3 linked regions of the Arabidopsis thaliana genome follow. The protein of the gene in region 2 interacts with the protein of the main gene of each other region in a pairwise test. Each region holds a gene or a part of one and is shown on either strand. Other genes may lie near its edges.

The links.
Region 1: the proteins of PSBO1 (region 2) and LTO1 interact in a two-hybrid assay, tested with the Arabidopsis thaliana proteins (one study listed by BioGRID).
Region 3: the proteins of PSBO1 (region 2) and AT2G25625 interact in a protein complementation assay, tested with the Arabidopsis thaliana proteins (one study listed by BioGRID).

Annotation. Positions count from the first base shown.
Region 1 is NC_003075.7:16,941,515-16,946,296, forward strand, and holds LTO1 (NAD(P)H dehydrogenase (quinone)s), read right to left. Parts: upstream 3,164-4,782; 5' UTR 3,109-3,163; coding exon 3,010-3,108; intron 2,934-3,009; coding exon 2,648-2,933; intron 2,368-2,647; coding exon 2,111-2,367; intron 2,015-2,110; coding exon 1,902-2,014; intron 1,752-1,901; coding exon 1,604-1,751; intron 1,520-1,603; coding exon 1,280-1,519; coding exon of another isoform or gene 1,219-1,279; 3' UTR 517-1,218; downstream 1-516. Other genes in the region: AT4G35750 (SEC14 cytosolic factor family protein / phosphoglyceride transfer family protein), read right to left, coding at 37-160; SEN1 (Rhodanese/Cell cycle control phosphatase superfamily protein), read left to right, coding at 3,559-3,710, 3,803-3,999, 4,090-4,160, 4,261-4,314, 4,395-4,469. UniProt on the Arabidopsis thaliana protein: Thiol-disulfide oxidoreductase catalyzing disulfide bond formation of chloroplast proteins and involved in redox regulation and photosynthetic electron transport.
Region 2 is NC_003076.8:26,566,635-26,570,966, reverse strand, and holds PSBO1 (PS II oxygen-evolving complex 1), read right to left. Parts: upstream 2,396-4,332; 5' UTR 2,224-2,395; coding exon 1,981-2,223; intron 1,685-1,980; coding exon 1,391-1,684; intron 1,305-1,390; coding exon 843-1,304; 3' UTR 506-842; downstream 1-505. Other genes in the region: AT5G66560 (Phototropic-responsive NPH3 family protein), read right to left, coding at 4,305-4,332.
Region 3 is NC_003071.7:10,904,590-10,907,856, reverse strand, and holds AT2G25625 (histone deacetylase-like protein), read right to left. Parts: upstream 1,643-3,267; 5' UTR 1,296-1,642; coding exon 1,195-1,295; intron 1,116-1,194; coding exon 758-1,115; 3' UTR 507-757; downstream 1-506. Other genes in the region: DBP1 (DNA-binding protein phosphatase 1), read left to right, coding at 2,879-3,061. UniProt on the Arabidopsis thaliana protein: Triggers stress-induced chloroplast degradation, independently of autophagy and senescence-associated vacuoles.

The sequences.
Region 1 (4,782 bases), on a different chromosome or scaffold from region 2:
GAGAAAAAGAAACAGATCCGATTGATATATCAGTACCTGGGAAGAATTTTCCGATAATACGAAGGATCTTACGGCCACGTTTGTCTCTGCCATGGATCTTGAAGATCTCAAGCTTCTCGATCAGCTGCTCTTGTTCAATCTCCGAAATCTGAGAACTCATCGTTTCTCTCTCTCTCTCTCTCTTTTTTGTTTCGTCGGTGAAATTCACAGTTGAATTATAGAAGAAGAAGGGAACAAAAATTGAGGCGAGTGAAGAAGAAGATGATGATCATTTTAAAAAGGGAAAGACAAAAAAATAAAAAAAATAGTGTATTAATTGGAGGGTAATGGGAGAAACGACGGGCTCTTACGAATATTCTATAGCATCTTCCTTTTTATCATGATCTTCCTCACCTCTTTGTGGGTCCTACATTCCAATAATTATTACCTTTTTCGCCCTCTCTTGATCTTTCGTTGTTAAGCAACTAATCTGGTCCATCCGTTTTTGCTACATCTAACGGCTACTGCCTTTTTTGACTCTTTTCCCGCCCCCCGCCTTAAGCGTTACGTCTCATCACATGATTCATGTAGATTATTGGATAAGATGGGCGTTATTTTGGATCATCCCATCCGATGTTGAGTTAAACTAATCTGAGCTTACAAATTATTAAAGATTATAAAGATCTCTATGTTCATATCTATCCAATGCCCAATGGAATCTTTTAAAAAATATAAGGAAAAACATTATCTTCTGCATATTAAACGGATAATAACAGCGAAACTTGTGGATGGATCATTACAATAGAAAAATACCGAGGAGGCACATTCAAGGAAGGTATTCAATAGGGCACCAAATATTGTAAACGTAATTCTCTAAGTTTCCCATACATCATATATCTGCTACTACTCTACACGCATATATATACAAAATACATGTGTGACTCTCTTATATAGACCATACTTTTAGACATTATACTTACATAAAGCCAGTACTAGATGGCTGTAGATTCTCGAATTAATAGTACCCTAACATTCTTTGGAAGAACCTATGAATCTTTCAATTATAAAATAGTGATGCTCTGGTGTAGGCTAAGTGATACAGATGAAGTTGTAACCTCCTATGGCAACAATAAGCACTTTCATTACTTGAATTTGTATAGAACACCCTATAGCTATCAGGAGGATCAAGTAAACAACATTTACGGATTCACCTTAATATTTTCTGCACCAATACAAAATTTACTGAAGTTGATTGGTCTCATTTGCCTGATCAAGGCTGAATCCAGTCATCTCCGCTAGTTCAGCGAGTTCTATTTCTCCGCTTAAGACCTAATTTATAAAAGAGGTGAAATAGGTACTGACATGTGATGAAATGTACAAGGGGTTCAGAGGATTTACTCACCTTATCATTTATTATCCATGTTGGGAATCCTTCGATCGCAGCATCTGCACATGCCTTGAGTATCTTAGTTCCTTTCTTATATCCATCCGGAAAACATTCCACGTAGTTCAGTTCTTTTGCCGCTTCTCTTCCAAACATCTGTAGATGGATGGAACTATAATGAACATATAATAAAAGCATAAAACTGATTCTTGGCAAACAGGTGATGAATGAACTAACTACCTCTTTTTGCTCTAAGCAGTGAGAACACCAGAATGCCCCATACATTTTAGCTCCAATGGAGTTTAGATGTTTTGCTAAAGCAATAGCATAAGGGCTCGATGATGAACTGATCTCTGTTCTAAAATATGGCAGTTCAATGTCACCAGAGCTGGAAGGAGTGAAACAAAAAACGATCGGGATTAAAAGAGACCACCTGATAAGACTCATACATCTTTCGGAAGCTATTTGTTCACTACTCGTTACAAATGACTAAAATTTCTATCGGGACTCCCCAAAGAAAACTATGAACTTTGATTACCGTGAAGGGATTGGTTGAGCAGTACTGTAAGAAGCAGTCAAGGAGGCAACTACTATGATTGCTAAGCATATCTGCAATCCTACAACTTGCTGTATTTCTTGCAACTTCACATCCTACCACATGCATGGAGCACATTATCATAATCCGAAGTTTAGAAGTTATCTTGAGTCAACATCAGGAAAAAAAAAGAAATGGAAATAAAGGGATACCTTTACAGAGAGGAAAAATAGACTAAATGATAAGAAAGCAGACACCAGACAATACAGGCATGATGATCCTGAGAGTTTTGTGCTAAGGATATACAGGAAATATGCACTAGCAGATGCCATTGCAGTCGTGATCCCAAATAACGCGAAACGCCCATTGCTCTTACTGATTCCAAAAGGTAGATTCCCTTCCCCAAGCTCTGCACTTAGAGCGGTTACTACGCCATACATAACAAATCCAATCACTGGAAGAGGAACACCTGGCAAAATGTAAAAAAGGATTTTCATTGAGTTCAACTTACCTGCAATGCAATGTTGGACAAACAACGAAGACAAAGCACTACATAGAGTGGAGTGAAGCATGCTATTTAACTCTAACAATTCTATGCATACTAAGTACCAAAGCTCCTAAATGATATAGCTTCAAGCAAAGATTCACAGAGACTATCACATGCGAGTATTTAATCATGCCTACTATAAAAGAGAGGACAATTAGCTACATAAATCAAACGCTATAATCAATAAAGCGATGGATAATACCGAAAACGACGGCATAATCGCTGTTGAGGACATCACCGCAAGTGCCACCACCAATAGGGCAAAACGCATCGGAGCCAGTGACCTTGAGGTAAGTCAAATACGCAGTGTCTAACATCCCAATACCGCCGATTCCGGTGTACCAGTTGTATGTCGAACTGTTACTAGTAGATACTTCACTTGTAGACGATGAGGAGGAGGAAGACAGCGACGGTGCCGAATCCTCACCGTTTTCCGGCTCAGATGAAGAACATTTAATCGGAATCGCAGGAAATCTCCGATCAGAGACCTAATTCAGAACATCTGACTTCAAATGACCGATCACACACTACTGTCACTGAAGAAAACACATGACAAGAATTTACCTCGAATCGTCTAGGATAAGAAGTTACCGACGGAGGAGAAACCTCACGGAAGCCGAAATGAAACTGACAAGACGACACAGAAACAAACCTCGCCATCATCGTCGTCGAAGAATCGCTATTCCACCATTGTTAACTTCATCATCTTCTCTCCTCCGCTCCACTATCTCAGCCACTTGTTTCAATATTGGGCCTAAACGAGGCCCAAATACGATAATTTGGATCCATAATTAGTTTATCACAATTGGGCCTTACGGTCTTCTTATCCGTCCGAGTCAGCAAGTTATCCTCTTCAACACGACTCACGAGGCACCGAGTTGGACTTATCATGATTCATTATCTACGCATTGTTTACATTTTGGAATCGACTTTGGTACATAATTGAATTTATCCATAGAAATGATAGAGACTCGAAGATCGGACATAAAACTTGCTGACGTGACACCCATACCTTTGTGTCTGTATGTATTATATAAACGCTATAGAACTAAGAGAAGAAGTATCTAAGTAGCATCAAAGCATTCTAAAAGAAGTTTCAAAGAAGAAGTGAAAATGGAAACCACTGCTTTTAACACAACATCACGAATTGGAAACTGGTCATCGGCTATTTCTCCACCTCTACAAACATGTGGATCTTTCAAGTGCCAATTACCAACACGAAGAGGTGTTATTGTAGCTGATCTTCGAAACTCAAACTTCCGATGGTAAGCTAGCAATCAACGACGAGAATCGCCTTCTCTATCTGATTTTAGATTATGAATAAATATTAAATCTGAGTATTAACTTCTTGCTCAAGGAGGAAAGCAACGACAACAAGCAGAGGAAATGTTGCAGCAGAGGCAGTTAAAATTCCTACGTCAGTACCAGTAAGAGTGGCGCGTGAGCTAGCTCAAGCAGGATACCGCTATCTCGACGTGAGGACACCAGACGAATTCAGCATCGGACATCCGACTAGAGCCATCAACGTACCTTACATGTACAGAGTCGGATCAGGTTTTCATCACCGACCTTAAGGTTCCTCTTATGAGAAAGAGTGAAAATGAAAAACAACTTAAAACTAACACCAAGCCAAAACCGTTGCAGGAATGGTTAAGAACCCGAGTTTTCTAAGACAGGTCTCGTCCCACTTCAGGAAACACGATGAAATCATAATCGTAAGTTTCAGTTTTGACATTCAGAGACTAAATAAACCCCTATGAAGACAATCCCTTGTTTCACAAAATCTCTGATGCACGTAATAAACTACTTCTGCAGGGTTGTGAGAGCGGTCAAATGTCATTTATGGCCTCAACTGATCTTCTCACTGCTGTATGTGTGTAATATCACTTCAATTTATATAGCCGTTATCCGGTTTAGGACAAGCGGGTTTAATGTCGCCACATGTACAGGGCTTCACGGCGATCACAGACATTGCTGGAGGATACGTCGCTTGGACAGAGAATGAGCTGCCGGTAGAAGAGTGAAAACAATCATAGCCATATCACCTCCTGTAATTATCAATAAATTCTGTAGATGTTCTCAACGCAAGTATCAATCATCATTATTATTCTCTAAAACATAGTTTAACTGTCAAATCTATATTGGGTGAAAGCTTTACCGAACTTCGAACACCACAAAGTTTACGGACCAATTAAGGACGGGGATGCATGCCTACACACGTTTAGTTTTCGCCGTTTTAAAATTTTAATACTTAAACTAATTTTTAAATGATAATAGTGAAATTAACATTATTTTAGTTAAAAATTATTAATTACTTTCTTAAAATTTAAGTTTTAA
Region 2 (4,332 bases):
AATTAAAACATTATTTCCACTTGCTACTCGCCACCCGATGCATCTAACTAATTTCTTATAAAATACTATATCACAGGAGTACCATGCAATCCAGTCATGTATATTTTTGTTGTTACTGTCAAATGGAGGTTTATCTATTTATAAAAAGATGAAGAAAAAAGGAACTTATACAAGAAAGCCCATCATATTGGGGACTGATAACATGTTTTAAGGCCCAAACATTGGATAATATAGTGTAGGAAAAATACACAAAGGGTTGGGTTGAAGGGAGACAAAAACAAACAAACAACGGCTAGTTCTTTCTATTATTACCATTTGAGATCATAAGTTTTGAACAGTTCTTAGTCTTTTTTAACCGACAATTAGAGGTTCTTAAGGATGTGCATTTCCTATTTTTCTTTGACTTGGTTCGAAGTGGACTAAATTTGGTGATAAATAACTGTACCAATCTATATATACAACAAATTCGATTTGGTTATAGTTCTGATAAATGCTAACTTAGCCTAGTTTATTGAGTTTAAACAAGTAGTACGATATATAAACTCATCTTCACCTTTACAAAGAGACTCACCTCAACTGCTTAACATGTGCTTCACAACTTTCCAATAGACTCTTAAGTCTTAACCAAACCAGATTTAGTCGATAACAAACAATTTTTATGCTTTTCTCATCATAGACCGTAAGGTTAAAATCGGTACTGTTTTTACGATGAAGGACATGGATATACAGAAAATTCAAGATCTTAGGCATGTGCATTTTATATAAGAGAGATAAACGAAGAAAGCATCAAAAGATGTTATCATTATCATCAAACACAATCAACGGAAAATATAATAACATGATCACTCAAGTTGACCATACCACACCCCTTGGATCTTCACATCCTTTGGTACCTTAGCACCCAAGTCAGTATCCGACGGCTGAAGACTCTCGAACACTCCGATCACCTCTCCTGTCTCCGGCTTGCTCTTTGTCACTTTCAGAGTGATCTCTCCCACTGAAGCGGCAGTGTTCTTCACGTTCTCCTTTACAAGCTCCTCCTCGTCTCCTCTGCCTCCAGCTGGCAATGCCACGGCGTTGTCATATCCTGTGGATCCACCACGGCCCTTTGGGTCCAAGAAGGAAGAGCCACGGTACGATGGAACCAAGAATTTTCCGGTGAAGCTGTCTGGTTTGCCTGAGGCGTCAAGCTGTTTGACTGTGAAAAGGAATGGCACACGTTCACCTCCTGGAAGTTGGACTGTGACTGCAGCATAGTCGATTCCATCTTCTTCCTTGAAATTGACGCTTCCGTCTGAAGCAACCTGCTCATTAAAGAGACGATCAATCACAAACCCTAACCCTAAGCAGAGTTTTTTCTTGCAGTCTAAGCAAAGACGCGAAATCGAACCTCGAAGGGTCCTTCGATCTCGTCAAGGGTGTAGGTAAGACGGGTCATGAGCTTTGTGTTCTGGAACTCTGGAGGAGCGTTCTTGCTTACACTGTCTGCCTTGACGGTGAAGGAAGTAGGCTCGAAGCAGAACTTCTTTCCTGCATACTTTCCGGGTTTGAACGAGAAAGTCTCAGAGCCACCGTCAATAGTAGGGCACTGGTTAGCCGTTCCAGTTCCTTTCACTTCCATGTATGTCTTGCTCTGAATCTCATCATAGGTCAATCTCTTTGGAGCTCCCTCCGCACTTGCTCCCTTTCATTACACGAGAAACAAGCAACTTTAAATCAAACTCACTGATCCAAGAAGATTGTATCTACATGAATCGAAGATTACAGAATTGGAATAGCGGTTTCTCCTTCTATTATACTATCCGAGTCTGTTATTGGTTTAGGTGTTCTCAAGTGCCAACTTCGATACATAGTAATGCAAATCATAAACATGTTATCACAAACACAACAAAATACTCTTCTTCTCTGTTACTCAATTCTCCTTTTTTTTCTTGATTAATCTATAGTTTTAAAGGAGAGTCGGAGATTAAAGAAAGTTACCGAGACGACGAGAGCAGAGGTGGCAAGAGCGAATCCGGCGATTTTGACAGCGTCGGAGCATTTACCGGTGAAGTCCTTAAAGTCAGACTGGAAGGAGCAAGTGAGGCGAGCCGAGGAAGTTTCGAGCCCAAAAGATTTGCCGACGGCTTGAGTCGATCGGAGGTGAGAACTTCCGCGAGAAGGAGCGGTGGCGATCTTCGCCGACTGGAGGAATGTAGCGGTGGATTGGAGAGAGGCTGCCATGGCCACAAAGTCTCTCTTGAGTTTTTTTTTTGGTGATCCAAAGCTGTGAGCAAAGTAAAGACTAAAGAGTAATAATCAAAAGGGCTGAGATAAGATTGGGATAAGGCAACGATTTTGATTGGTTTGTTTCGTGGGAATCGGAGTGTCTGGTTTTTTTTGTTGCCACGTGTCGAAATCTGAAGTGGAGATATGGATACTGTCTCAGTCAGGGGTGCTGACCTGTATAATAGTATAAAATAATCAAAAATTGTTATGTTGTAAAAACATTAAAGGTGGCCCATGCAGGTTTCGAACCTGCGACCTTCGCGTTATTAGCACGACGCTCTAACCAACTGAGCTAATGGGCCTTGGATGCTAACACTTAAATGTAAAATTTAATTTTCAATTAATTTTCTTTTTTAAGGCTTTCAAGTAGTAGATGCAAAGAAGGCCCGGCCCACTAGGTTTTTGTCCAATGTCCAATTGATCTTCAACAACATTTTTCTTTTATGGATGCTGTTCTAAGTATACAGATAGAAATCATATAAATTTTTTCTGATTTGGTCCTGATAAATTAAAAATCTTAATCGATCCTTTAGAGCCTGAATCAGAATGTACGTCCCTCTCAGAAATTAACTCATCATATGTAAGAATGCCAATACTAGAGGTTTTGCTTCAACTTCAGGACTAGGATGCAGGGAATTATCCAAAACCACATTGAGCACAGTCTGCTTTCCAGTATACAGTTTGAAATTACAAGTTATGGTTTCTCCTTGAAGGCCTTATGTTATATGAACTTGGCATCTTTGCTGTTATTTTTTAATATCAAGAAATAGTTATGATTTCATAAACTTATTTTTTTTGTTAGTTCAATTGGTTTATCACTTGGTCTTAGCAGATTGTGTTATATTATTAGAGTATCTGTAGATTCACTTGAAATGTAGTGTTCCCTAGAGTCAATATAATTGAATCCGAATTTAGTGACTACTAATGCAATGATATCTGTGACTGAAAATTAAGAGCAAGAGAAGGCACTCAGAATGAGTAGGAGGTATAGATTCATCAATAAGAATCAGATGACAATAAAACAATCCTCATCATGCCTTTCTTCTTCCTGCTAAGTCTAATTAAAACAAAACTAATTGAACAAAAAGGATTCCTCTCAGACAAATGCCTCGTTTGTCCCCATGATTTAATGAATGGATTTCATCGGACTCGTCATCTATTGTTCCTTCATCACTGAGAAATCCCCTTTATACACGTTCCTAAAACCTAGATATTTTAGAATGCTAAAACGAAGAAAAATAATCCTCTCAGACAAATGCCTCGTTTGTCCCCACGATTTTATGAATGGATTTCATCGGACTCGTCATCTATTGTTTCTTCATCACTGAGAATATTTTTCCTTCTCTAAAAAAATCTAAATTATTTTCTAAAAACACAAAATCGAGTCGATCAAAGATTAATATGCCGATTCAAACACATATTGGAAAATCAGAGAGTATCAACTGATTCAAACGAAATTAAACGAATAACCCTAATAAGATGGGATGACAAAGAACTAAATCTACGGAAAACGAGGAAATTTACAGAGACTTAGGTTTGATTCGGTACTCGGATTGTGCTAATGGCTTCTTCTCAGCCAAAGCCGGTTGATTTATATAGTAGAACTAAAGTAGGGTTTAGGTTTTTAGGAACTCTCCTTTATAAAACGACATGAAGTCCTACTACCGATTCTGAACAGCGAGTAGTTCGTCCCTCTTTTCCTACGTTAAAACGGCGCACATTCCACAAATATGAAACAATTTCTCTCCAAAACAGTGCCCAGTTTACGATAGATAAGGGCAACTGAAGCCCATTGTTACGGCCCATTCGGAGGAAGTCGAGAAAAGGGCTCAATTCGAAACGTTTAACGATGGGCTTTGTGCCGTATGTCATTTCTGGTTTTACTAATTCGAGTACAAGACTCAAAACGATGCACATTTGTGTAGAGCAGTCGCATAGCAAGAATCTCGAAGGATTAACAAAAACTAAAATCCAAGAATCACAACAATATGCTTTCTGATTCTGTACTAAAAAGAGTAAAATCAATCGAAAACAATTCAAGACCGTCGTGATCTATGATCAACC
Region 3 (3,267 bases), on a different chromosome or scaffold from region 2:
TGTGGATTTGCATAAGATGATCAAGCTGTGTCCATTTTCTTGTTAACGTAGGTCTCTTATTGCAAAACCAATTTTTTCTTCTTCTTCTCTTCATGCTACGAGTCTTTTCTCTCTCGCTAAGGCTAATCTCCCTTTATTCTCTCACCATTCTTGTAAAAGCAAAGAACATGAGCATCAAGAAATTAAATTATTGAAGGTCCGACATGGAAGTGAAATTTGTAGAGTTGTAGTTAAACTTTGAAATACGAGGCCGAAATCAAACTAATCGTTGGAGTGACATAGAGTTGGGCTTCACTTTGGATCGATAATAGGCCAACTCATTTCAGTAGGAAGTACTTGGAGTGTTTTTCTTTTGTACTACACGCATGTACTACTTTTCTTTCATTTCACATCCAATAGAGTACTACTTTAACACACAAAGCTGAAAACTCCCAAAATTTGGTAGGATACAAGATTACAAAACAAAGAAAAAAAGGACGGACCAAAACTAATCGTGCACATAAAGATCTCAATGAATTTAATGAGTTAATTATTTTTATACGGTTCGATTTAAACCAAAAATCAAAAATGGCATCCTCAAAGAAAATTTTGCATGAATTAAAGACCAGTTTGGTTCAATGTTTTGTCATCAGTAACTACACAAACAAATACTTAAAATTTAATATATCTACAATAGTTTTTGTGTGTATTATTTGTTTCTAATTGACTTTTTTTACACCTGCCTAACAATCTCCCTTACACGTAATGAACTTCCAATTTACACGGAGAAACAACCACCCCTGTTGACACGTGTCATCACCACACCGACCGGCGGTGCATCACCCTTAGCTAATCCGGCTAACTCCAAACGTCGATGAGCAGACGGACGAGGAAGATTCTCCGGTACGATGGTCTCTAGCGAGTTCTCAAGCCAAGGCGGACACGTCCTCTTGTCACTCCACCTCCGCGGCGGCACCACACCCGCAGCCATCTCTTCTACCGGCGATTTCACAACCGCAGCTTCCACTGATGCAACATCATTGATCTGAATCCCGCCGATTACGACAGTTGCCGCCACCCCCAAGACAAAAGAACACTTGTTTTTCCGTGGCTCTGTCTCATTTTCTGTTCTCCTACTAAACAATAAAAGAACAAAGATCATTGATATGAAAAATTATCAGGTAAATAATAACTTTTCATGAATAGAAGAGATACCAAGAGATCTTTGACGTTGTCTTGAGCAGTGAAGCTAATGATTGTGCAGAATTTGAATCTAGGGGAGGAAGATTTAGACAGCAGCTTATTCTCCCTGCCATTGTTATTCCTCTGTTTTCGTTTCCTTCTTTTTCTTAAGAATCCACCTAGAACAAATTTTATTTTATTCCTTTCACCTCCAACATATATATAACTACTAACCCATTCTTACTTGGGTCACTCATTTTTTCTTACTATATATGTATCCTCAAATTATTACATTTCATATGCGCATGCAATACAAACCACATCTAAATTTTTCTTCCAATATGTTCTTTCTCTATACTTAACTAAAGCCCAAAGAATGAACTTAACCTAGAAAAGATGGACTTGACCCAATAGCATTGGTCCGTTGGAGATGTTAGGTCCATACTCCATACAAAGACAAATTGAACAAAAGTCGTGAATCTGTTTGCTACGTCTGAATAACAACGTACACGTATCACGCCTTGCGAACAAATTATTTGACAATGATGGCCAATTAGCATGTGTCATCACTTGTTACCACGTCAACAAGGTTCTTGTCGGTCCGTTTAATTAATAGTAACCATCGTTTTCAGGAAAAAAATCCACATAAAAAGTTTCTAATGGCGAAACAATATTCAAATATTTCCTAACAACTACCATGAGACTGATTCTTTTTCTCTTCCGAAAAATTAATGAGACTGAGTCCTAATTTTTCTTATAGTTAATTTGGTGACCATCAAAGAATGTAAAAGTATTTAGGAAACAGCACAAATAATCTGGCAATTACGGTCTACAACATGTTTATTTACTTATTTTTAAATTATAGAAAAATTTAATATTTTAATATCTTATATTTAATGCCCTAAATAACACTAAATCACACATATAAATAGCAGAGATATAAATATAGAAAAACATTCCAAGCATTTTTCAGTACTTAACATTTATACAGAAAAACAATTAAACATTTTTCAGCACTTAATAATTAACATATGTGAGAAATTCATAAACTCTATTAAATATTCATGAAAATAATGTATTTTTAATTTTATAAGTAATATCTCATGTGTCGACTTTTTTTATATAAAAAAGATGTAAAAAAGGTCCCAAGTTACTAAAATTCAATTTTGTCAACTTAACTCAAAATCTTTTTGCTATTAGTCTAAAATTTCAGATTTCCTTTCTTGCTATTTTTCAAAATACTATGTTTACTTCTCATATAAACTGTAAATATATCCCTTTTTTAATAAGAAAAAAAATCTCTCACTTCAAAAACAAAAAGGAAAAAAAAAAGCAAAGAGAAAAAGTAAATAATACGCCGACGTTTCGTGTTTATGTTAAGCTTCCTTTTTCCTTTTTCCTTTTTCTTTTTGCCTTTTAAATAACCGTCGGACTCATATTTCTCGCCTCCGCCGGCGAACAGTTTTATTATCTCTCTCTTTCTGCGTGTTCCAATTTCTTCCACAAAACCCTAATTTTCTCTTAAACCCTGAAATTCGTGTAACCTTTCAACAATCTCTTCAATTTTGTTTTCGATTCTGAATCCATTGTTTACGAATCTCTCATCTAAAGCTACATTCTTCGTTAAATCGTTTTTAATCGACTCGCTCACTCGTGAGTTGACTCGTCAGCTGTTTCCATAATTGCTTATTGAATTTTTATACGATGATGTTTCAATATGGAAGAAACTAGAGGAATTTCTGATCCAGAGAATGGGAGTTCGAGTTACGGCGGTAAACCGCCGAATCCACTCTCCTTCTCTTCTTCCTCCGCCGCTGCTGCCGTTTACAGGCAAACCTTCGACGGCGAGCGATCGTTGGCGCCGTGTAATAAGAGGTCACTGGTTCGACACTCATCTCTCGTAAGATTCGTTTCTCTTCAACTTGATTTGTGGATCAGTTAGGTTTATTTTGTGTATTGAATGATCAATTTAAGTTGAGGTTTTGTAATTATTGCTCTGCTTTTGGATTTGATCATTATTGGTTTCCTAATGTGTATAATTAAGGTAGAAAGTTTCTGTTTTTAATGTGTCATTATGAGATGTTTGAGGTTTTCTGATTGATTTTC